Linked DNA regions of Tamandua tetradactyla. Each later gene encodes a partner of the first gene's protein in a complex. Links are inferred from orthologs where the notes say so. Each region holds a gene or a part of one and is shown on either strand. Other genes may lie near its edges.

What was found.
Region 2: CACNA1C (region 1) and CACNG1 share a complex: the UniProt entries of both Homo sapiens proteins name them as parts of the calcium channel complex. The link is inferred for Tamandua tetradactyla from reciprocal best matches to the Homo sapiens genes CACNA1C and CACNG1.

The regions. Positions count from the first base shown.
Region 1 is NC_135333.1:62,235,550-62,247,868, reverse strand, and holds the start of CACNA1C (voltage-dependent L-type calcium channel subunit alpha-1C), read left to right. Parts: upstream 1-6,631; 5' UTR 6,632-6,929; coding exon 6,930-7,071; intron 7,072-12,319. Other genes in the region: DCP1B (mRNA-decapping enzyme 1B), read right to left, coding at 1,861-1,996, 4,127-4,193. UniProt on the Homo sapiens protein: Pore-forming, alpha-1C subunit of the voltage-gated calcium channel that gives rise to L-type calcium currents. Mediates influx of calcium ions into the cytoplasm, and thereby triggers calcium release from the sarcoplasm.
Region 2 is NC_135332.1:7,076,850-7,088,930, forward strand, and holds the start of CACNG1 (voltage-dependent calcium channel gamma-1 subunit), read right to left. Parts: upstream 4,658-12,081; 5' UTR 4,604-4,657; coding exon 4,369-4,603; intron 1-4,368. UniProt on the Homo sapiens protein: Regulatory subunit of the voltage-gated calcium channel that gives rise to L-type calcium currents in skeletal muscle. Regulates channel inactivation kinetics.

The DNA.
Region 1 (12,319 bases):
TCTCTCTCTCATTACTATGAATTCATATATTTTCATACATTCAACAGTTATTCTTTTTGATGCTTCAGCTAGCGGTCCCTTTAAGCTGACTACTGTGCCCTTTTCACATGATCCTATTAGCTTAACTTTCCTGTACCAGACCTTGAATCAGTAATTTCTTTATGGAGCCCTGATACCTTTTTTTTAGGAAATAGTATTTAGAAACAACAGTCTAGGTGACCAGGGTGCTTATTGTTCCTGGGTTGTCATTTTTTTTTTGATCTTTTAGGAGAAAGAGCTGGAAACTACATATTTAAGAAACAAAACATGAATAATAATAATTCTGTATTTTTCCACTTAAAATTTAACATTACACAGTTTTAACTTAATTTCTTGAATTTTTTATTTCTTCTCTTATGCTGAAGGTTTTGGTTCAGACAACAATAACGTAATTACTCAATTGTAATATTATACAACAGTTACAAAATCACTGTGCCAATATTACTACCAACAAAAAAAAACACTGAATGAAGTTTATAATTTCTTCGCAGTTCTTTTTGTCTTTAAAGTATATCTACTAATACTAGGTTTCAAATACTGGGTTTCTGAAGTCACTCACACTAATTTTTTTTCTAAGTGACTATGTCATAATATGAACTTTGGTTAAGTACATTTGCTTCAGCTAAGTTTCCAAGTGTTAGGACTTTATTTTCTTTTTTCTTAATTTACTTTTGGCCATTTTTCTAGAGGGTATTAGTCTTTTACTTTTCAATTTTTAGAGCTCTTTATAAAATAGAGAACTCAAACCTCTTCCTGTTATTTAGGGTGAAAATTTTTTCCTCAGTTTTTTATAATTTCTTACTTGAGGTTTTTAAAAAAACATGCAAAATGTTTATTTTTTTATTTTTATGTAGGTGAATTTATTGCTCTTGGATTCTGAAGCATAGTTAGGAACATTTCCACTTCCCCAATTATAAAGCGATCCATACAAGTTTTCTTCTGGTACTTGAATGGTTCTATTTTTACAATTCAAATTTTTAACACATTTGGAATCCATCCTGGTATACGGTATGAGGAAAGAATCCAATTTTGTATTTCTCCAAATGGCTACAGTTGTCCCAACACCATTTCTTTAAAAATCCATTCAGTCGCTGATTTGAGATTGTCATCTTTATCATGGTCCTAAAGTTCATATACACTTGAGTCTAATTCTAGGACTTTTTCGTCTGCCCAATTTGTCATCCTGGCTGTTCATGTGTCAGTACCACACTGTTTTGAATATCTAGAATTCAGTGTTTTAATATCAGGTGGAGCTTATCCCGATATTGCTCTTTTTTTTTGGCAGGGTTTTCCTGCCTAGTCTAACTTATTTTAAATTTCTCCATCTGACCGTTATAATCAACTTACCTGGCTCCGGGACAAAAGAAAAAAAAATGAAAGGAAAACCGTTAGTATTTGTTTAGGGATCATCTTAAATTCACAGATTAATTTAAAGAGAACTGACAGCTTTATGCATTCTTATCTAAGGACCAGGTATATATTCCCATTTGTTCAAGGTCTATGTTTATGCCTTCCAGGAGTGTTTAAAAGTTTACCTCACACAGGGTTTGCCCATTTCTTGTTCATCTTATCAAAGGAATTTTCTATTAATTTGTTGCTACTGTAAATGAGATCATCTAGGAAATCTACTGGATATCATTTGCATTTATGAAGGCTACTGATTTCTCAGGCTACTTTTTAATCCAATCAAAAGCAAAACAGTAGCCTCCTTTGACTTCCTAAAAGCAAGTAAAGATTTTATTTTTCGTATGATTTTGTTTGGTGGAGGAAACAGTACTCAGTCTTTCTCCACTGTAACACAAGGAGGGGGTAACAACTTACCTTTGTGTATTCATCTTTGGCCTTGGTGAGCATCCGTAAGATATCTACTTCCTTCCCCTCTCCTGAATTGAGGATCACTGGGGAGACTCGTGCTCCAGCTCCCTGGTGGGCTTTCAATTGCTCATATTGAGTTAGGCTAGAAAAAGTAGAGAGGGACAATCCATATAACAAAAACAACTCAACATAAATGCTTTTTAAAACCATCCCAATTCTCACCCAGTTGTTTTCATACTGTTACAGTCATATTAGAAATAAGACTGCTTAGGAAATGAAAGAAGAGAAACAAAACTTGAGGTCCTGAGTACACTGATTACAAATATGAGTCTAGAAGAGGGGTTGGCAAACTGGCCGAGTCCAATCTACTGCTCATCCACCTATGGAAATTCTGCAGGAGCATCGCCATGCTCATCTGTTATTGCCTATGGCGAGTTCCGCACTACCATGGCAGAGTTGGATAGTTGTGACTGAGAATGTATGGCCCACAAAGCCTAAAATATTTACTATCTGGCTCTTTACAGAAAAAGTTTGTTGACTCTGTAACATTTGAAAGGACTCATTCATTACTGAGGAAACCCAATTTGGAGTTCACAAACCTTGAGGAAACAACATTGCAAATTGAGATTTTTCTTTTTCCCTCATTTCAGAGCACAAGGTTGAGTACGGCAACTCAAATTCTGTAGTACTCTGGTAGTTTAGAAATGCAGTGAAGATTCTATTCTAATTCTGAGAAGACGGAGCATTAAATACAAAAAAATACAAAACAGAGCAATGAGAAGTGTCTTTTGTTGCTCTGAAAACAAAACTGAAGATTGCTCCTATATGCTGCTTGAGTGATGTTGAGAAAAATACTTTTTCCTTTTGTGTGCTTTGACTTTCAACTCAATTCTTTTATTATTGCCATAAAGTTTATGGTGAAAATAGACCTGAGGATTTACTGAGAGATTCAATTCTATCTGGGGAAGAGGACTGAATTCACACAAATAAGCTGCTCATTGCTAGTGAACAATCAATTTCCTGTCCCAGCTGTTAAGTAATTACTGCAGAATGCTGACAATTTTAATATGGCCTCTTGGCTGAGCTACATAGTATTTTTTAATCTATACAAAATCTGCTAGTATAATCCGATGCACAGTTTACAATAACATGGATGCTCTAGAAACTAGTTGTTATGGTGGTAAATACTGGTTTGAACGCACTTAATCACTATCTGCAACTTGAACTAGTTAGCTAAAATTAGCTACCATAAGCCGGATTTTCAGGAATTGATGCTTATTTATTAAAAATGTGCTCGCCCCATTTTTTATTTTCTTGGGGTCATTTGTTCGGCATTTCATCACCTCAGGATTTCAACTGCGGAAGGAGCTGCCCTGTGACAGTGTCACACTGGTGTGGGCAGCAGCCATACTCTGACTGTGGCTAGTACCGTAGCAGGCTGACAGGCAGCACGCGTAGGAAAGGAATTTTATTCTGAGCCTCATGCATATTCCCATAAACAGCAGAGAAATAACTGCCTCACCGTGAGCAACCCTGTGGGTCTATCTGTGCTTTCCTGGGCCCTCCTCTCAATGCAATCAGGGAAATCAAGAGTGGGAAAGTCAAAACAGGAATTCCCAAAGTGCAGAATGGGACAAAACATGGATAGTAAAAGAAAAACAGACTAATAACAACAGAGAAAGACCATCTACTGATCACTAAACTTATACTGACTCTGAAATTTCCAAAGAGATTGAAAATAATGGCTATCCTAAGAAGTCACAGTGTTTGAGAGGTGGGGAAATTCTGAACTTCTATAAATATAGATAAACCGTTAAAGGAAAGCATTTAGGGCAGGAAGGAAAGGAACAATTTTAGACTGCAAAGCAGCCTTTTAGAATGGCTCTCTGGATGTTCTTTTTACTCATATACATATTGATACCTTATTTTTCAAAGCAAAAACTTGCTAATTGACAAATGAGGAAAACATTAAGAAAAACTGCCATGTAGAAGAACTCATGTTACATATATTTCATACTGACAGAAAATATGAGTTGAGTCATTCTAGATGATGAGTCTTACCTACTGAAAATAAAGTAAGTTATATGTCTATTTTTCATTTATTAAATAATATTATTTTTTACCTTACTTCTATGAAAAGGATTGCTATGAGATATATTGTACATATCGTATCTGCTATAAGAGATATAATATATTATAGTGTAATTACATTCACTTAGAAACTCAAACAAAAGAACTGAGCCCTGAAAAATATTTAACCTTCAGTACTTACTTTTTCATAAGCTCTGCAATTCTTTGGCATTCTTCCTTATCATAAAACCAAATTCCATAAATGGATACTGCAAAAAACATATCAAACAAATTATGAACATCTTCAAAACCAAAAAATGGAAAGAAATTCCCTTTTTCATTCTAAATGAAAACACATTTTTTTAAAAATAAATGAGATGGATTATTGGAGCAAAGTCTTCAAAACTGAGCACTGGAATTTTTTAAACCCACAGAGAAATCAGTAGTGGTCTTATACATATACCCAGATACAGACATATCCAATAAAGTACACTTTCCTTGAAAATATACCACGTGGATGCAGGAGGCATTTGGCAAATACTTCATAAATGAATGAATACAGATTGAAAAGGAAATTAGAATTTCTAAACTTCCTGGCTTTTCTATCCTCCATTTTCTTATTTCATAAACATATTTCATCTTTAAATATTCAGAAAATTAATGCACAAATTATACCTAGAAAACCTCCCCCGCCCCAGGAATATGTTCACTGAAAATCAGCTTTGTAAACTGCAAGTAAGGATACAGTGCTAGAAAAAATAAAATTTAATAATAAATCCTCAACTTCAAAACATCTATAAAGAAAATTTACAAATGTTGAAAGATTTGATATGGTTGAGATTTAATCATTTAGTAATAAAAGAAAAATGTGGTTATAATACAGCTGCTATTGATTCATTTAATAATTTTCAAATAAATTATATACTTTATTATGTGCCTACTACATCAATTTCATAGCAATGGCTGAAACAGTACCAAAATACATTTATAAATATCTAGTTGAGGATCTGGTGGCATTAATCATGCAAATAATGCATTAACTACATATACATTTTTAAAACCTTCATTGAAAAGAGTGGCAATATTATGATAGGCCAATGAAAAACAGAAAAAAAATTTTTTAAGGAAACAATGTTTTAAAATGTAAACTTGTGAAACATTTAATTATATGGCTACTAGACAGTCATTAAAACAGCTGTGATATTTTAAGATTTTAAGTGTAGCTTTCTCCTCCACTTAACTGATCAATGGCAAGGTATGGAATTTCTGTTTCTTATCAATAATGACTCAGATAACAAAGGTACAGACGTTTTTACTGCTATTTTAAGCAGGCATCTTTAAAAGCCTACCTATCTGAATTACTTGCCAAAAGGTGGCAATGACGTTTTTAACTTTTTTGTACTATCAGTACACCAGGATTTATATCTTACCTAACTACTACGTAAAGTGGGGAGGGTGAAGATGGAAAAAAACAAAACAAAACACCACCTCCAGATTCTTCTTTAACAGGATTATTTTATCCTCCTAGAAAGAAATACATACACATACTTCTCCTCAGTACACTGGTAATCTTTGGAGAAGGAAAAAAAAAAAGAACATCTGAGTTCTGAAGTATACTTGCTATGAGAGCCTTTCTATCAAAAAAGAAATTCTTTCATCTCAAGATCATTAAATGTGTATCTTGAAGATCTATATTCAAGGCTATCTCTTGTCCATCAACACTAATCTCTTATGCCAATTCCAACACAGCTTCCTGTATTCTAACCCACTAGCTGTGTGTTGTAAATCTGTATGTTTTGGTGGCTTTAATCTTAGGTATAAAACTAGGAGCCTGGTTTACTTTTTTGGTAAGAGTGAAAATTTTCTTTCCTGGGAGTCTTCCCAAACTGCCAAAGGAAAAAGGGGGTGGCAGCCTAACAGGTTCAAGAATGTAGTAGCAGAGGAAACTCGCCAGCCATTCGAGTCTCACCAGCAGAATGTATTAACAGAAATATTTTGGGTGCAATTTTTTGTATTACACATTTGTGGCATTTGACATAAGGAACTAGGTTGTCATAAGCAGAGGATGCCAAGGAAACTGTTGATAGAAATAGAAAAACAGTCTGACATTGTCATTATCATGACATAACTGAAATGCAGATTAAGGAAGGGGAAATGCTATGAAAACATCTTTCACATGTCAAAGCAAAATGAAGGAAAGACTGGTTAGTGGTAATTATAAGACAGTGTAGGACAGATTAGGACAGGTCCATTTATCGCTAAAGAACATGAATTTAAGATTAAAATAAGATCATTTTAAAATCCCAGTTAATGTTGAGTTTGAACAGAAAATTTAAATAGCCAGGAAAAGAAAAGGAAAAAAAAAAAAAACCAGGTAGATTTACCAACAGACTTGGCTATTGAAAGGACCATGCAGATAAAATGTAGACTGGGCCTCATTTTTTTCTCCCTAAAATAGTTTTGCAACATGAGCTGCACTCCAGGAGAAGAGGCAGTAAAATTACATTAAAGTACACATTCCAGCAGAAATTTTCTGCTTCTTAGGCTCAAGGTCTACCAACTCCTGGACAAAACTCTCACTCTTCCACACAAGAGGGTCTATCAAAGCAGCTCGTGGTGATATATAAAAACCAGACCATCATGCCTAACAGAGGCGATGAGCTGACAGACTGACAGAAACCATTAACGTCACATTTCAATCCAAGTTTTCCTGTAAAGTCACTGGGTGAGAGGCCCGCCTCTCCATAGACAGCATAGCAGAGAAGAAAAAGACAAGGTTGCAAAAGAAGCAAGAAAGAAGGTATAGTTTTCAGAACTCTAAAACTTAAAGTAATTACTGCAACCTAAAGTTGCAACAACGTGATACGGCTGTATAGCTTTTGCAGCACTGTGTTCCTATGGAATGGTTTCCAGGTTTTAAAAAATTACGAGGAGAACCCTCACGGGTAAGGATATTTACTACGAGTTCAAAATCCACCTAATTATTAGTACATATCTGGAGATTTATGATGCTTCGAGCCTTTGTTCAGCCCTCTACGCCGCCATACCAGCCGCTTTCCAGCCACCTGTCTGCTGAAACAGAGGTGAAGTTTAAGGGCACCTTGGTGCACGAAGCTCAACTCAACTATTTCTACATCTCTCCTGGAGGTAAGAAACCCGAAAGTGGGGAATAAAGAATAGGAAAAACATGTTGAAATTGATAGAAAGGATTCTAATGATACCTAGAATGTGTGGCTCCACCACTTAGTAAAGACTCTCTTGCATTTCTCTTTGTACAGAATTCAGGACTTCCCACAGCATAGCTGTGACATTTACCTTATACTCTGCACTGTTCTGGTTTATGGCAGGATTTGGAAATTTTTGATAGTAAAAAAAAGCTGTGTTTGAGGTAACAGATATTGCAATATTGCTTTTACATGTCTATGAAAACACTGATCTACCTTCCTTTTAATTCTGAGAGAAAGATGAAGGAGATCAAATTTTCAGTTTTAGATTTCATGCCTGAATTTTATAGGGACACACAACAGAGAGCAAGATGACTGTATCCAATAACAATAATTTCTTTTGCAATATCTTTCAGTTGAAAAAGCTAAAGCTGATTTAACATTAATAGGCCTGTTAAGGGGTTATTAGAGGCAATATCCATCATCACTTACATGTACATTTTCATTTGAAACACTTTGATTCTTATTAGCATGGTGCATTAGTTTATTTTGGAGGTTCTTTGGGAGATTTACTGTGTCTAGTTTATGTTTCTGATAAATATTTCCATTCAGTCTCTTCTTTTAAGACAGTTACCATTTGCTTTATCATTTACGCAAAATATCTTTCAATTCCAAATCTCTGAAGCTTGAAATAATTTAGCAAGGATTCACGCTAATATTTGTGCAACTTTAAAGAATAAAGCATACTTCTACATGGTTAGTAAGTGGATAATAAATAATTATGTATGTAAAGCTTAAATAGGTAGGATATCTAATTTGGCAATGCTCTCCTTCTTGCTTTCCTTTTTTTAAAGAACAATAATTCCTCTCAAAAGGAGAGGAAACTTTGTTTTTCTTAGTCAGTATGGAGCAAGGAACGTGCTCAAATTCTCTTTTTTGCTGGGAAAGCCATAGAAAGATGGCAGTGTAATTTACTCAAATCTCTCCAGGCATTTAAGGATAAACCAAAATTTTTTTTAAAAAGGAACATCAAATCCCATTCTTTTTATGATGGCTCTCAGAAATGACTGGAATAATAAACTCAATGGGAGGACCAAGAATATCTAATCATGTACTTGGTGTAAACCCTTGCTTGGGGGACTGCATTCAAATACAATATTACTTGATTTATTGTACCATCTATCTAGTGTGAGTCATTATAAATTTGACCACGTTGATGATGACTTATTACTAGCATTTGGTAGTCAGCATGCACAAACAGCTATTGACATTGATACACTACCACCACCCTAAGAGATCACAAAGCACTCAGAAACGTAGAAAGGAAGAACCATGAAATTTTAGAGCTGGAAGCTAGCTAAGAATTGCACAGCTGAATAACCTAATTTCACTAATGAGGAATCTGTGGTCTAACAAGGCTAATGATGTAACCAAAGTCATTTTTCTTTGATCAATCTGTTCTGTCTAAAATATGCCCCTCTCCTAGGTTTACAAATGAAATAGAGTATTCAAAATAATTTTTCTTAAATTTGCTAGGCTTGGTTATAAGGGTTTGGGAGCTAGTCTTTTTAAAATCAAGGTTCATGTGGATCTCAAAAGGTGAAAAGGAAGGATGAAAGGGAGGGAGGGAGAAAGCAAGGAAGGGTGAGGAAAAAAAAAGAGGGAGGAAGGAAATAAAGGGATTGGGAATTTCTGGTATTGGCAGTAAGTGCTAGAGCATAATTATGCTGCTTATGTACTAGCATCCACAGATGGGAGACAAAAGGCTATGTTTGGCTGCCTCTGCTGATTCTGTACTTCTACCCCATTTGGAACACTTTGCACTAAAAATTATTTCCTTTGGCATCTTCTTTAATGCCTTTAAAGTAATGTTCTTTCAACCACTTTCTGCCTTAGTTTTACTGACCAAACACGGACAACAACCTTGTAAACCAAATCTTCACAGGCCACGGAGAGTCTACATAGCACTGTTATCTTTGCCCCCTGGGTCTGGTTCTTTTCATATGACATAGTTTTACAGCACCTCACAAATCAGTGATCCTGTGACCTTGAAATATCGGAAGGATCACAGTAGAGGAGAAGCAGTTTGTTTTATGGACAACTCATGCTCATGATAACTGGGGGAAACAGTAGAAAACCTAAACAGATACTGTGAAGTAAAATAACCCTTTGATTTCTAAATAAATTAACTTTTTGTGTTAAATTGACTTTAGAAAGCCAATGCCTTAAAAAAAAACAACCTGCCCAGTAAAGCATTATATTAAAATAGTGCCTACTACAAATGACAGCTTATTATCTTCAAAGTAAAACATGGACTTGTCTTTTAAAAAATTTTCATTTATAATAAATGCATGTTGTCAGTGAACCTTCTTAGTCTTAAAAAAAAAGTAGTTATCCTGCCCAAATAGAAATATCTTGTGGTCTACGACTATCCCCAGGTTCATGAAAGGTCAGATGGAATCTTCTTTACTATATACTAATTTCCTAAATTTATTCATTTCAGGGGGAAATTCCTTTAATCCAAGAGCTCTAACAGAATAAGTAAACATATTTTAAAAAGTTAGGAAATAGAAAAAAGGCATAATCAGTAATAAATATAAATAGGAACAACTTATTCTGCCTTATTGACCATTTAAATTTATACTTTAATTTTATCCATAATTTTGCTGATTAATTTCAACTTCTCTTAGCCCACAAATATCAAAAAGGGTGTGGTGTTTTGAAGCTGTAAATACCCTAGAAAAGTATGTTCTTAAAGTTAATGCATTCTTGCGGATATGGACCCATTGTAAGTAGGATCTTTTGGTAAGTAAGATCTTAAAAGTGTCCTTTATAAGAGAATGACATTCAGACAAAGAGAGAGAAAGTTAAGAAGCAAGAAGCTAAAAGCAATGAAACCCAGAAGAGAAGGAAGAGACAGCAGACAGCCACCTTGCCATCTGACAGAGGAGTCCAGGATCGCCAGTAGCCTGTTTGCAGGAACAAAGTATCACCATGATGATGCCCTGATGTGGACAGTTTCACGACCTCAAAACTGTAAGCTTGTAAGCTAATAAATGTAATTGTTAAAAGCCAACGTGGTTTATGGTTCTGTTTTCAACAGCTTGACAAACTAAAACACAGGGATTCCCCAAAATGTTTTCCCCTGAATCATATACAGCTCATCCTTGAAGATTGAGTCTTTCTCACTCTCCTAGGGATAAATAGTCCCAACTTTTCCTTTGCTCCCAAAGTTTTGGTACACCTTTCTATTAAAGACACAACTGTTTTCTCCACTGGATTATAAGCTCCTGGAAGGTAGAGCTTTTGTTAATATACCCAGCAAAGCAATGAGCATGTGGTAGACACTCAACAAATAATTGCTGGATTAAACTGAAATATAAGACTTCAAGATCTTATGATTCTTATAAGTGCTAATATCAATAGTCATCACTATTCTGGCCAGATTGGCTGGATCCTCTGTATCAATTGATGACACCTACCAGGAATTACCGCATGGGGATTTTTCTCACATTGCCCCTTTTTATCTTTTTATTCTCCTTCTAACTCGACTCAGAGTTTATTCTGCTTCCATCATTTTTATTCTTAGGCATAAATAATGCTGATGGGATTCTGTCATTAGGATATGAGTTTCCTGAGAATGCATAATTCTATTGATCCAGCACTGTGTAGGCACTAACGTACTCAATTATGTGTCTTTATTATTACAACAATTCCACCATATACCATTCTTCTTGATTGACTACCTGTCAGTCACTGGCAACTAAGAATCAGAGAACACAATCATTGTGCAAAGTCACATGCATATCTCTTCATTATGGAAAAACGCAGGGTACGGTATAAGTAATGGTACTTTCATCTAGCAGAAAAAATAAGATATTCATAGTCCAATCATGCCTGATAATAGTAATCTGAAGTTTACATATACTTATATCTAAATTATCTTAAAACTATAAGATTTAAATACAATATCAATTAGTCCAGAAGCACTTACTACAAACCTATTATCTTAAGTGAATCTTAAAGTTCAGTCTCATATAATTGTAGTTTCTGAGACATATGTTTAAGCTAAATATAAAACAGAGAGTATCTCTATAGTCTATTCCAAAGAATAACTTCCTCATTTTGAACCAGATTATTTAACAAGTGTTTAATAATTATAAGGATAACTTTGTTGAAAACAGCTCAAATATAATCACATAATCACTGAAAACTTTCTAAGATTTTGCATAGCAATGCTATAGCCAAAGAAGCTTAGTGCTACTTCCATCGTAGGATGGTGAAAAGTGAGCCAATGGTTCTGTACTTTTTTCATTTGACCTTAATCTATAAGCATTGATATAGATGATGCCACTTTTCCAAAAGCTGTTTATGTTATAAACAGTTAAATTATGTTTTGATTCTTCCATTAAATAAGAGCTCTAAGGTCACATGTAGGATGATTCTAAGCCCATTCTTAGTCAAATTGTTTTCTTTCTCTAAAACCTCTACGTACAAGGAAAAAATGATAATTTTTCCTTTTGTGAGTTAAGAATTAACCTAGATTCCAGAAATTGATTATTTAAAAGTATTTTCTAAATGATTTTTGGACAGATATCAGTAATACTAAACACAGACTCTAAAGGAATACACATGAGCACAACCATAATAAACACTTTCTATATGCACAGCACTGTTAGGGTAAGGAAACTAAAAGACGCTTTATTCATTAAGCATTTAAGAAAATATTTTGGAATCCAATTTTTCTCTGCCAGGATTTATACTTTTACCATGCCAAGTGGGTTCTTAAAATATATATATATATAAAAGACAGTCTATCTCCAAGTCACAAATGCAATGTCTGAAGCCAAACAGCACTACTACGAAGACGTTTCTTTGGTAAAGCCAAGAATCTTGTCTTTGTGGTTCAGGATAAAATAAAAGTGACTTCACTTTAGTTTTTCTCTCACATAGTAGCTATATATATATCACCATGTAAGTCACATAGTCTCTTCCTGATCTAAGCATGTCAGATTGTAAAATTAAATAAGTTTAGAGATGCCATACATTTCACCCATTAGATTCAGGTCCTACTTAAAAGTTTCCTAATCATAAATGATGGAAGGGTAGAGAGCATGTAAACTGGATGGTCACGGTGAAGAAGAGTATTATTTATCTATATTATGTGTGTTTATCTGAGTGTGTCTTAAGGAGCTATCAGTAGCACAATTCAACACAATGAAAAACACAAA
Region 2 (12,081 bases), on another chromosome or scaffold:
CTGGGAAAGCCCCTACTCTCATTCCGCCGGCATTGGAAGTGACCTCAGATGCTGATCTACATGATGATGCTTCTAAGACTCTTTGGAGCAGTGAAAAAACTGGATTAGGCAACTTTTGGGCTCAAGCTCTCCAGCAGGCTATGCCTGAAAGGGACCTTAGATGTCTCCTCCATTACACCAGCTCTTGGCCCAGCTTCCCCCAAACTTTGCCATGTCCAAAGCCGGACTCTATGTGCTCACTCGAGTTAGCAGCTTTTAGGAGCTTGATGGGTAAGGTAGAGGGTGAGGGGGCGGAATTGGAGAGCAAATAGACTCTGGATTGTAAATTTGGGTGTTGAAACTTTACCTGTTTCACCTTGGGAAGACCACTCTGAGCCTCAGTTTCCCCCTCTGTAGAATGAGAACACAAGCTACTGACTGGGTTCTTGTAAAGTAGTATAATACAGCAACTGAGAAAGTAGATTTTAGGGGCACATGGCTGGGTACACATCCCAGCAGCTCTACTCATTTACTGTGTGACCCCGGTCAAGTTGCTCAACAGCTCTGTCCCTCCATTTCTATATCTGTAAAATGGGATGATGAGAATAGCATGGACATCACGGAGGGTTTTGTGAGGATTAAATGAGTTAATGTACATAAATTAGTGCATTGCCTTCTAGTTTCTGATTTGAAATCAGCGTTAATGTTATTGAGAACCTCGTCTATGCTTCTCTCTTGCTCTTTTTCTTTCAGCAGTTTGATTGTGATGTGTCTAGATGTGGCCATTTTTTAGTTCATCTTACTTGGAGTTCATTGAGCTGCTTGGAATGTGCGATTAATGTTTTTCACAAGTGTGAGAGTTTTCAGTCATTATTTATTCAAATATCCTCTCTGTCCCCCTTCTCTCTCTCTCCTCTCCTCCTGGGACTCCCACTATCTGTATGTTGACGTACGTGATGACGTCCCACAGGTCTTTGAAGCTCTGCTCATTTTTCTTCATGTTTTTTTTTCCTTTCTAGTCCTCAGACCAGATGGTCTCAGTTGACCCATCTTCAGGTTTACTGAATCTTTCTTCTGCCTGCTCAGATTTTCTGTTGAGCCCCTTCTAGTGAATGTTTCATTTCAGTTATTATACTTTTAAACTCTAGAATTTCTATTTGGCCCTTTTAAAAAATAATTTCTCTTTCTTAATATTCTTTCTTTGGTGAAGCATCATTCTCATACTTTAGTTCTTTAGACAGTTTCCTTTAATTCTATGAATATATTTAAAATAGCTTATTTAAAGTCTTTGTCTCTGATAAGGTCAATGTCTGGGCTTCTATTGTTTGCTTTTCTCCCCTGTGTATGGGTTGTACTTTCTTGTGTGCTTGCCTGCCTCATCATCTTTTGTTGCTAACTAGACATTTTGGATATTATAATGTGACAATTCTGGAAATAAGAATCTCCCCCTTTGTCAGGATTTGTTATCGTTGCTATTTGTTGTTGCTGTTTGTTTAATAACTTTTCAGAATTAATGATGTAAAGCCTGTATTATTTATTGTGTGTGACCATTGAGGTCTTCTCTTGGTTAACTTAGTGGTCAGGTAACCGAAATTAAGGTAAGAGATTTCCCTAAATGTGTGTAACCTATATATCTCCTGGTCTTCATTGAGGTGCTCTGTCTGCATGCTGAGGGCACACCTTCAACATTCAGCCAGGCCATTTACAACTGTCTTAGACTTTACTTCCTGCTTGTGCCAAGCCTCAGCATCAGCTAGAGGTAAGAGCATGGGGCCTTCTCAGGTCTTCCTGAGCGCACACTGGCCTACAAAGGTGCGTGGCTTTCTAGATTCCCAGAAATATGTTGGAGCTTTTCAAATCTCCCTATGGACATCCCATTCTCCAACTTCTCCTTTTAGACTTTTTGGTTAGTCTATTATTTTCTCCAACTACTATCTACTGCCTCAGGCAGCTGGGATGTTAAACAATCGCCTCTGGTTGTTTTTAACAAATGTTCTTTAGAAAAAGACTGTTGACACTGGGTGAACACAGAACCAGGTCAAGTAAAGATAGCTTGCAAGTGGGGTCTCCCAGGGAACCACCTGACAGGTCAAAGAGTGACAGTTCACTGGGTTTGGGTTTGGCAGGCATTCCAACCACCTCTGCTCCCTGCAGTGGCTGCCGGGCTGCTGGTTTTCACCGAGATTGCAGAATATTCATTTTCAAGGCTACTGTGGAGCTGGGTTGGGGTGTATGGGATTAGGGCAAGTTAAAACGCCACAAAGCTTCCTGTTTTTATCGATTCAGCCGATTTTCTTGAATGAATGTTCCCCAGATCATTGCAAGACTGGGGTTAATTTCCAGAAATCTGAAAAAGTAGATTCTGACCATTTTTGCCTGTGCTCTCATTGCTATTCTGGAAGAAGGGATTTTTGGAGGCCCTTACTCCGCCATTTTTGTCTGAAGTCACCCAAAGTTAATATATCTTAAACACTTAGAACAATGCTCTACATGCAGCGCTACCTTGGTGTCTGTTGTTAATATAATAGTTGTGCTATTAATGACGAATGAGAGACCACGGGTGAAGCCTTTTCCTTTCCCTGGAAAAGAATGTCCCAGGGAGCATGGGAAGGGTGGATCGGAGAGGAAAAAGATGTCTCCTTGCAGCGTGGCAGAAACATACTTTAGAAGTTTCTTGGGCAGAAGGTGGCACTTGGTGTCACTAGCATGGGAGGCTGGATTCACAGCTGGACTAGGGCAAGAAGGCGTCAGGGTGGGCCCTGCTCGGGCACCAGGCTGCGCCACGCCCACTGCTCCCCCATGGAAAGACTGGTCCCCAACCGCTAAGCCATCCCTTCCTGAGTGGACTGTGCTCACACTCCCTCACTCATCTGCCCCACGAACTCGTCAGCCTCTAAAAGGCATGTCTCCAAGGTTGGTGGGCAGAACCATGACAAAGTGTCTCCATGCATGATTCCTGAAGAAGCTGCCCTGTCCTGCCCTGCCCTGCCCTGCCCAGCCGTGCCCGGGTGAGTTGTCTGGATGACATCTGTTTACAGGGTGTGCTCAGCAGTGGCGAGGGGCACAGGCTTCAGTGTTATATGATACCCTTCAAACACATGCCCTTGCCTGTTAAGGCCTTCAGCCCCAAGTCTCTGTTTTTCCAAGACAGCTGAGTATTTATGAATCTTCCAGGCATCTAGTGGGGGTGAGCAAGGCAGGGGTTTCTTGGAGCAAGCAGGAGGGAAAGGGAGAGAAAGGAGAGCAGCTAGAAGGGATTTGGGCTTCTGTGCCCATGCCTTGCATAGACTGCAAAATATTTGGAGACTCAGCACTGACTTCCTTAAAAGGCAAGTTTCAAGGAACATCCAGTCTGATAAGACAGGAAGTAATTCTGAAAATCAGGCGGGATGCCCCACACCCTTGTCCACTGTCACACTGGCAGGATGTTTGTGGGGATGGGAAGGGACTTGGGTTGCTGACCCATATTTTACAGAGAAGGAGGAGGCCAAGAGAGGCCTTTGCCTCACCCCAGCCTGTATTCATTCAGGGGTCTATGAACACTGTGTGGCCAGACAGGTCTCTGGTTCTCTTCTAACATATGGCGCATTTCCTGTGAATACAGAGGGTTCCCCATTTGCAGAATCAAGACCAGTCACTCTAATACCTTACATTCTTGCCTGAACGTGTGGTTCAGTCACTCGTTGGGAACTGAAATTACGGCCCAGAGCTAAGGGAGGCTGTAGGGAAGGACTGAAGTTCTGAGAAAAGGGCAGGTGGCTCATCTATATATCCAGGGACGGCTTCAGGGGCACGTGACACAGGTGGTTCCTGCAGGCCACGCTCAGAAGGGTCTCACGCTTCATTTAATGCTCTCCTGGCGCCATCTTGAAATTTTTAATCACTTTGGGACCAGGAACCCTGCATTTTCATTTTGCATGGGGCCCAGACATCCCACAGCCATTCCTGTGTCCAGCCCTGCCTGGAGGCCGGGAGGGAACCTGCCAGCCCCATAGGCCCCTTCAAGCCTGAGGACACAGAGCCACCCAGCCTGTCTCTGTAGGGAGAGAGGGGGGCCCAGCAGGGTGACCGCTGCTGGGACCAGAAGTCCCCCACCTGTAAGACCCACAGTTTCCTTGTTGAGCCATCTGCCCTGTCTGTCCAGCCCTATTTTCTGGGTGAAAAGCCCCACACCTCAGCAAGACAGAAATAGCTGGAGACAAATGCCCTTATTTCCCAACCCAGTTCTGGCTGTCAGCACGGACAGACATAACTCAGATCCTCTTTCCTGGGCTAGAAGGGTTGGATGTCTGCTCTGTCCCGAGGCTGAGAGACCTGGCTCTTTTTGATTTTTCCAGGGGGACAAGGGGAGGGCAGGAGGGGACAGCGCAGACAGGGCGGGTACGTTACCCCCGGGCAGGCTGATGGGGCCGCAGCTCTCGTCCTCGCTGCTGCGCGCGGCGATCCGCTTGGTGCAGATTCTCCAGAGGCCGAAGTGGGCGGCCTCGCAGGCGGCGTCGTGCTGCTCCACCCGGGGACTCAGCACGGCCCAGTGGTCCGTCACCACAGCCACCAGGGCCAGCACGACGCCCACCAGGATGAGGGAGAGGGTCACGCGGACCTTGAGCGCTTTGGTCTGGGACATGGTGGCCGTGGAGGGATGGGGTGCTCCGGGCACGACTGGGGCGGCCGCGGCTGCCCGGCCCGAGCTAAGTTTAGTGTCCCCGCTGAGCCAGAGGGGGCCGGCCTTGGGGCTGCGGGGGCTGGGGCACGGCCGGGCAGCTGCTCTGCCCCGTCAGGGGCCTGAGGGACGGGTCTGGTAATGCCCAGCTCCAGGCGCGCGCAGGGCGCTGTCGGCTCAGGTTGCAGGGCGAGGACCTGATTTGGGGAGGGGGCTGGTGAGCGGGGCTCTGCCTGCTCGGGGCTGGGGGAGAAAGGGACCTGGCTGGGCCGGGGCTGCCTAGCCCCCCCCCTCAGCCCAGGTCCTCGCCCTGCGGGCCTAGGGGACATCCTGGGTACCCCCCGCCCAGGGCCCCCTCTCCCAGGCCAGGCCGTTAGCCCCAAGCCCACTGTGGCTCCCGGGTCAAGGGACGGTTCCAGGCGCCCCCAGGGCAGGGCATCACCCAGCACAGACCCCAGGCTGAGGATGGTATTTCCTCTCCATTTCCCTTCCCATTCCTTCTGGGGCCCCAGAATAACAATTCAGTTTGGGGGCTGTAGGTCTTGAACAACCTTTTGACATTGGCAAAGCGTCCTTTGAAACAGAGAGTGGCCCCCCCAAAAACTAAGAATTCAGATGAACTTGTCTGTCCATCTGCTTTCGTTGTACTTTTTCAGTTGTACTTGCCATTAATGGCAGGTAATGACTTTACAAAATAAATGTGTTTAAATAAACTAAAACACAGAAGTTGGTCCATTTACCAAGACTTCCAGGAGGCTAATGGGGGTGCAGTTACACCAGAGACCACGTCAAAGCTTGGGAGCACCGCAGTGGCGGGGAGGGCAGCTGTCCACAGCCCCCCACCCCACCCTGGCTGGGGCTTGAGGCTCTGGTTTCTCAGCTCAGCAGGTGGCTCTTCTAGGGTGTGTCCAAGGGGCGGAGGTGTGGCCAGAAATAGAGCCCTGAGCTGAGTGGGATCCTGAGCTTCCAAGTCTTGGAGGGGTCTGGTTGTGAGAACACAGAGTGCTGAGAACGGAAATGACACTAACCCTAGCTCCTCTTTGGTGAGTGCTTACTATAAACCTGGCACTCCACCAAACCCTGCACACGTCATCACAGCCGACTGTCACACTTATCCATGAGGTGGGGACAGCTGTAGCTCCCATTTTATAGATGACAATACCGGGCTCAGAGACACAAAGTAACTTATGCAAGGTTGCACAGCTAGTAAGTGGTGAACCCGGAGTCCACGCCCTTAAGCAATGATTGGAGCTGGGAGGAAACTTCAAGCTCTATGAATCTTGAATCTATGAAGTGACTGAAAAGGAAATCTGCAGCCCAGAGAGAGGCTGTGACGAGCCCAGACTATCCGTCAACAAGCTCCAGAGCTGAGCTGAGATCCTGGGCTCTGGCTGCAAGCCTGTGCTCTTTCACCTGCATCTGAATCCCTGTGCTAAAACCAGCCCCGTGGGCACCGCTCTCTCTCCCCATCTGGATTATTTATCGCCCAAGAGCTTCTCTCACAACCTTTCTCAGCTCTGCTTCCCTTCTCTTCCCACCCTCCCCGCCTCTGTGTTTCCAGGGGGAGCTAATCCATCACAGTGAACTCACTCACTTCTTGAAGCCTGTCACCGCCCCTGCTTCAGCGTGGGGAGTGGCTGCCTCCAAGAGAATTCCGAGATCCTGGGGACACAGCCCCGCAGCCCCGGAGCTCGGAGCTTGTTCACGCCGCCCACGTGGGCTGGGCCTCAGAAGAAGCCCAGGCAAAGTCCCGCCGGGAAACAGGGTCCTCGGGGGGTGCTGGAGAGCCTGAGGCAGACGCACCATGTGCCTGCCACTTGCATCAGCAAAGCAGGGCAGGGAAGCAAAAGGATGAGGTTCTGGGGTTTGATGACAGAATATCTAGAAAGAAGCTATTTTAATTTCCACATGCAAGTAACTGACGTGTCATCTGAAAAAATAAAAATGTATTTTAAATTTCTTAGTGAGGTGGATGTGAGCCCCTTAAGCTCCCCAAGGCTGGGAGCCTCTGACGTCTTAGAGGTGTCTTAGGTGGGGCCTGGCGTGGGGGACACTCAGGGTTAGCCACGCGAGACCATCTCGTGAGAGCAGCAAGAGAGCAAATTTCCTCACCTAGGGGCAAGTCTGCGCTGCATGTGAACTTTTTTGTCCTCCAACCGAGTGAGCAAAAGCGTTAAAGATGGGGGGCCTCTTCCTTTGGAATTCATCTTTGCAAATCTCACCAGACAGCTGGCAGCTTCAGAGAGTGTAGGCAGGTCAACTTTCAGCCTCAGTTTCCTAAAAACTCCTGTCTGCTCATAGAACCACAGCCAGGCTGCCTGCTCCCCCAGGGCGTTGCCCGCCAGGAAGGGGCTCATTGGCCACTGCCACTGGCTGGGAGCCGGGGCTGGGGGATGACCCGCCCCTCACCCCTCCCACCCAGGGATCATTCTCTTCCAGCACCTCAGGGTGGAGGGCGTGGGGGGCGGTGAGCAAATGGAAACCCACCCGCCCATCAGTGCCTGCGCCAGCCAGTCCCGGGATGAAGTCCCTGCTCTGCCGTGTTCCAGCCGTGGAGCTTCGAGCGAGTCCTAACCTCTCCAGACGGCCTTATCCTCATCTGTGAAACAAGGGCGCTGGCGCTTGGCGTGGGGGCTGGTGGGTGCATTAGAAATAATGCACTTAGTCCCCGGGAGGCAATCATTCCAGGAAGGCTGGGATGATGGTGTTAGTTATGGCCCACAGAAGGATCACTTTCCCCTAATGGGCTGTGAGCTTCTGGGGGGTATGGAGGATGAGAGGCACAGCACCCGGCTCAGGATGGGCTCTGCATCAGCGTTTGTTGAATGATGGATGGATGGATGGACTGATCAGAAGGACTGATACAGTAAGAAAAAGAAGGAAACAGAGGCACAAATAATTTACTGCCCTATGTTATTGAAAAGACATTTCCACCTGGCTTTAAGATCAGAGGGACAGAAGAGATGGCAGCTGGGGCAGACCTGGGGCCACCTGGGACAAGGGACTAACTTGCTTCGAGATGCTGAGGGCTGTCAGGAGGCCCAGGCGACCTCTGGAATGTCAAGGTCAAAGGGAGCATCATCCGGAGGGCTGACATTGTCTACAGATCGTTTCAAAGTGGACATCTGGGAGTTGTCTGTGTTGTGCGCATCCGAAATGAACCCCTTTCGTTTGCCCTGGGAAGCTTCATCTGGAGGCTTCGGTGGGAGCCGGGGCCAGGCCACGTCAGGCCGACAGCCAAGTAACTGCCCTTCGGTAATGCGCTGATTCGATTTTGAGCTCAGGCTTAAATAGGCTCAAGCATGGCTTTGGGTGTTTGATTTAAAATACCATTTCGAAAAAAGCGAGGGGCCATCCTAATGTGCCTCCACCTTCTGACCTCCGCATTCCACCTCAGATCCCCCGTTGCCCTCTGGCTCTCTGCCCCCACTTCCATCCCCTGGGGGCCCCTGCACAGCGTGTCACCTGTCCCCTCCCCCCGCCCTGCAAGGCTTTCCCAGAGCTGCCCTGGGAGGCCTGCAGGTGTCTGCGGAGCAGCTGGAGAGTAAAAGCATATTTACTAAAGTTCAGCAGTGCAAAGAACGCTACGAGATCAAACACCCACAACGCCTTCGCTGTGGGACATGGGGGTTGCCCAGGCACGTGCATTTTTTAAATTTTAAGACATTTACATTTTATTGAATGGGGATTGGAAGTATCCAAACCGTGCTTTCGTTAATACTATTTCTTCAGGGCAGGGCCAAAATAAGAATAGTCCATTTCAGATGAGTAAAAAAATATGGATTAATAAATAAATAAATAATGAGGGGACAAAGAGTAAAAGAAATAGAGTGGATGGAAACACTAGAGGTCAACGAGAGGGAGGGGTAAGGTGTATGGTATGAGTTTTTTCTTGTTTCTTTTCATTCCTTTTTCTGGGGTGATGCAAATGTTCTAGAAAATGATGGTGATGAATACATGTGATGATATTGTGAGTCATTGATCGTACACCATCTATAGAATGTATATATGTTGAAGATTTCTCAATAATAATATTTTAAAAAGAAAAATAGAATAGTCAATTTAAAGAAAAAAGAAGAAGTAGTAACCATTCAGGCGGTGCCTGGGATGTGTGAGGGCGCCAGGCCAGTGTACGTCAGTGACAGGGGCTTGGGGCATAGGCACAGACGCAGCCCTGAGCCCCAGCTCTGCCGCTGCTGAGCCCTGTGGGAGATGTTTAACCCTGCTGAGCCTCTCTGCCTGCAAAGCAGAGAAGACATAGTGTCTGCTCCGTGGGACGAGAGTGACAATGAAGCACAGTGACGTGAGTGTCCCCGGAAGCATTCGGGGGCTGAGGTGAGTGAGTAGGGCGTCCGCTGCGGTGGGGCCCATGGCCTGGGCAGCCACAGGGACGTCTCGCCAGTGAGTTCACCAGCATGTAAGGGAAAGAGTGGCCCTCCCTGAGCCGGGACAGGGCGAGTTTGACGAGCCCCTGGAAACCCCGTCGCCATCCAGAGTGTGAGTCTCACCCTGAGAATGATTTAAGAGGACTCCGAGTGTTGATGCCTTTCCTGCAGAATGGGTAGCAGTGGAGCCAGAGAAATATTATTTGGTGATTGTGACATGCATTCACACATTCATTCATTCGTCAGCTGCTTGCTGATCATTGAGGGCTATCGACATGGAAGGGACACAGGTCTGCCCCTGAGCAGCCCACGGACTGGCAGAGAGATGGACCTGGACTGTCCGAGAGGGTCCTCTGCGGTGGCAGGGCTGAGAGGGGAAGCGGAGGGCCTGCTGGATGAATTTTAAGAAGGGATCAGGTTCAGACACTGCATTAGATATAGGCTATGTAAGGGGTAACTCAGCAGACCTTCGCTGTCCAAACCCTGTGCCTTCCAAGGAAAGGACTGCACCCTGACCAGCTCCAGGGAGTAACATCTGAGCCCTTGGAATGTCCTGCCTGAGAGTGTCTTCGTACACCTGGGGCCTGCAGCCAAGCCAGATGGTTTGGCATCTTGGGGGAAAGAAACAGGATGGATACTGCGTAGCTAAGGCCGTTCGTGTGCATTCCATAAAAAACACGTTCACCAAGGCTCAGATTGGCAGAAGTCTGCGTGCGTGGTCACCCATCATTGCCGGGAGAATTAAGCACTGTGAGGAGGACTCCACCAGGAGAGGACAATGGGCAGTTCATGCCTGGTCTCTCCAGGCATGAGAAAGTGTTTAAATTAGAATTAAAAGTATAGATTTTACTCTGTTAAGCTCTACGGTAATAAGCCATAACCAGGAGCATGGTAGCTTTTAGGAATCCTATGAGTCCTTCGAGAAAATCATTGAACTTGAGGGTGGTTTTGGGGATCTGTGCCACACCAGGAAAGAGGCAACTGTCCTCGGAGTGGGTGGGTCAGAAGAGCCCTCGCAGGTGAAATGGAGGATGAGTAGGGGTTAGGACAGTGGAAGGAGGACTTAACTGGCAGGGGAAGATGCGGGTGCAAAGACCCAGGGCAGGAAAAGTCCAGACTGTAAATTGCAGATGTGATCAGGTCTGGGTAGAGTGCTAAGGCACATGGAAGGAGTGGATGGGGAGGAGATGAGAGATAAGGTTGGGCAGGGGCCAGACCTGCAGGGCCCAATAAAGCACGTTAAAAAAGAAAATGCCAAAAACTGGGGGTGCCTTTATCCTAGGAACAGTGGGAGCCATTGGAGTTTAAAACTGGACAGTGGTGTGGCCATCTGCTTGGGACAGGAGTAAAGAGGGTGATGGAAGGGGGGGACCTGGAATAAAATGAGGCGAAGAGACAGCTCAAGGCAGGAAAGCATATATTTGAGGAACACATGGGTGGTAGACCCAATGGACTGCGTGAGATGAAATGTGATGGATGAGGGGAGGAAGGAGCCAGGATTTTGGACTTGGCGGCCTGGGTGACCGATGGTGCTGTTGACAGAAGGGAAGTATGCTGGAGGAGAATGGGTGAATTTTAAGAAGGGTTCAGGTTCAAACACCGCATTAGATATAGACTATGTTTTTACAACAAAGAGGCCCCTGAATGCAGCAGCTTAATGAGGTACAAGTGTGTCTCTTTCCCATCACAGGCCAGGTGGTCCGGCTGGTCTCCATCCAGTCAATCATGGACCTGGGCACCTTCCATCTAGTTGTTGCACTGTGCTCTAGGGTGTTCTCATAAGCAAGGCCAAAGGCAGGTCGATGATGTGTCAATGCTCCAGACCACAGGAAGCAGGAAAGAGCAGGAAGAGTGACGGTTCACTCTTATTTCTCTATAAGCAGTAGACTCAGAAGTAGCACAAAGTATTTGAGTTGGCAGGAATTTAAGCTTTTGACCATACATAAGGGCTTTGGAAATTAGCTGGGTGGCAATATCACCAGCTAAAGCTCTCTAAGACCATGGAAGAGGGGAGTGAAGATTTGAGGAGACATGAAGTGGTCTGCCATGGACACGGGATGTGGAAACTGGGAGCAGACCTGGAACTTGGGAGAAAGACTCTGGGTTATCTGGGTGGGCCCAGAGGTCCTTCTAAGGTCAATGGAGGTGAGAAGACCAGAGGACTGTGAGGCCAGGGAGTCAGAGTGGCTGGCCCACATTGGCGTGCCTTGGTGTGATGGTGGTGGGACCTGGGGTGCAGAGAAAGGGCTTTAAGCTAGAGTCTGAAGCTTTAGGTGGAGGTGAAGGATACCCAGGAAGGAGTTGGGAGATGACAGTTTTGAGAAAGGATTCAGGAGGGTCTATCCAGGCCCTCCTAGGAGAAAGCTTTTTCCCAGTTGTGATGGAAGAAAAGATTTGGAAGTATTGGAGTCTTCCACGACTCCCTGCTCCTGCAGCCGTTAAGTCCAAGGACATGAATTCATAACCTTCTCTGATCACATATTTCTGTTCCCAAGCTTGCACCAGCAATTTTGTTGTAAGCTGCAAGTTTAAAAATATCTGAATCAGGTGTATCTGCCCAGCCCCTCTCTGGATCCTCTTTCTCCCTTTCCAGCACCCAACCATCACATCTCCTAGCCCAATGCCCAGACACTGTGGGCGGAGACGAGCCTTCCTGACACACAGTGTCCTTGGGCATATTTAATGGTTGTTTAATGCCACTAAGTTTGGAGCAGTGGGATATACAGCCCAACTAGTTGACACACTAGAGGGGATTACATTTGGGGTGGCTGAGGACATCTGGATGTAGGGCTTTGTGGAATGAAGCACCCACAGCCCTCCTAGAGGAAATGGGTAGAAAGCTGCTCACTGGCTATTGGGCAGGTCATGGGGGTGGGGGGCAGAGAGGCTGTCACCATCGTGGTCCAGACCCACAGCATCTGGGTGTAGACAAACTCCTTACCAACTTTGGAGGTGGACAAGGATGGACCTTTCATCAGCCGTTGGGATGAAACTGGGCTGGAAGACCAGAGAGAGATGCCCCCAGATCTCACGTGCATCAAGCAGTACTCAGCATCC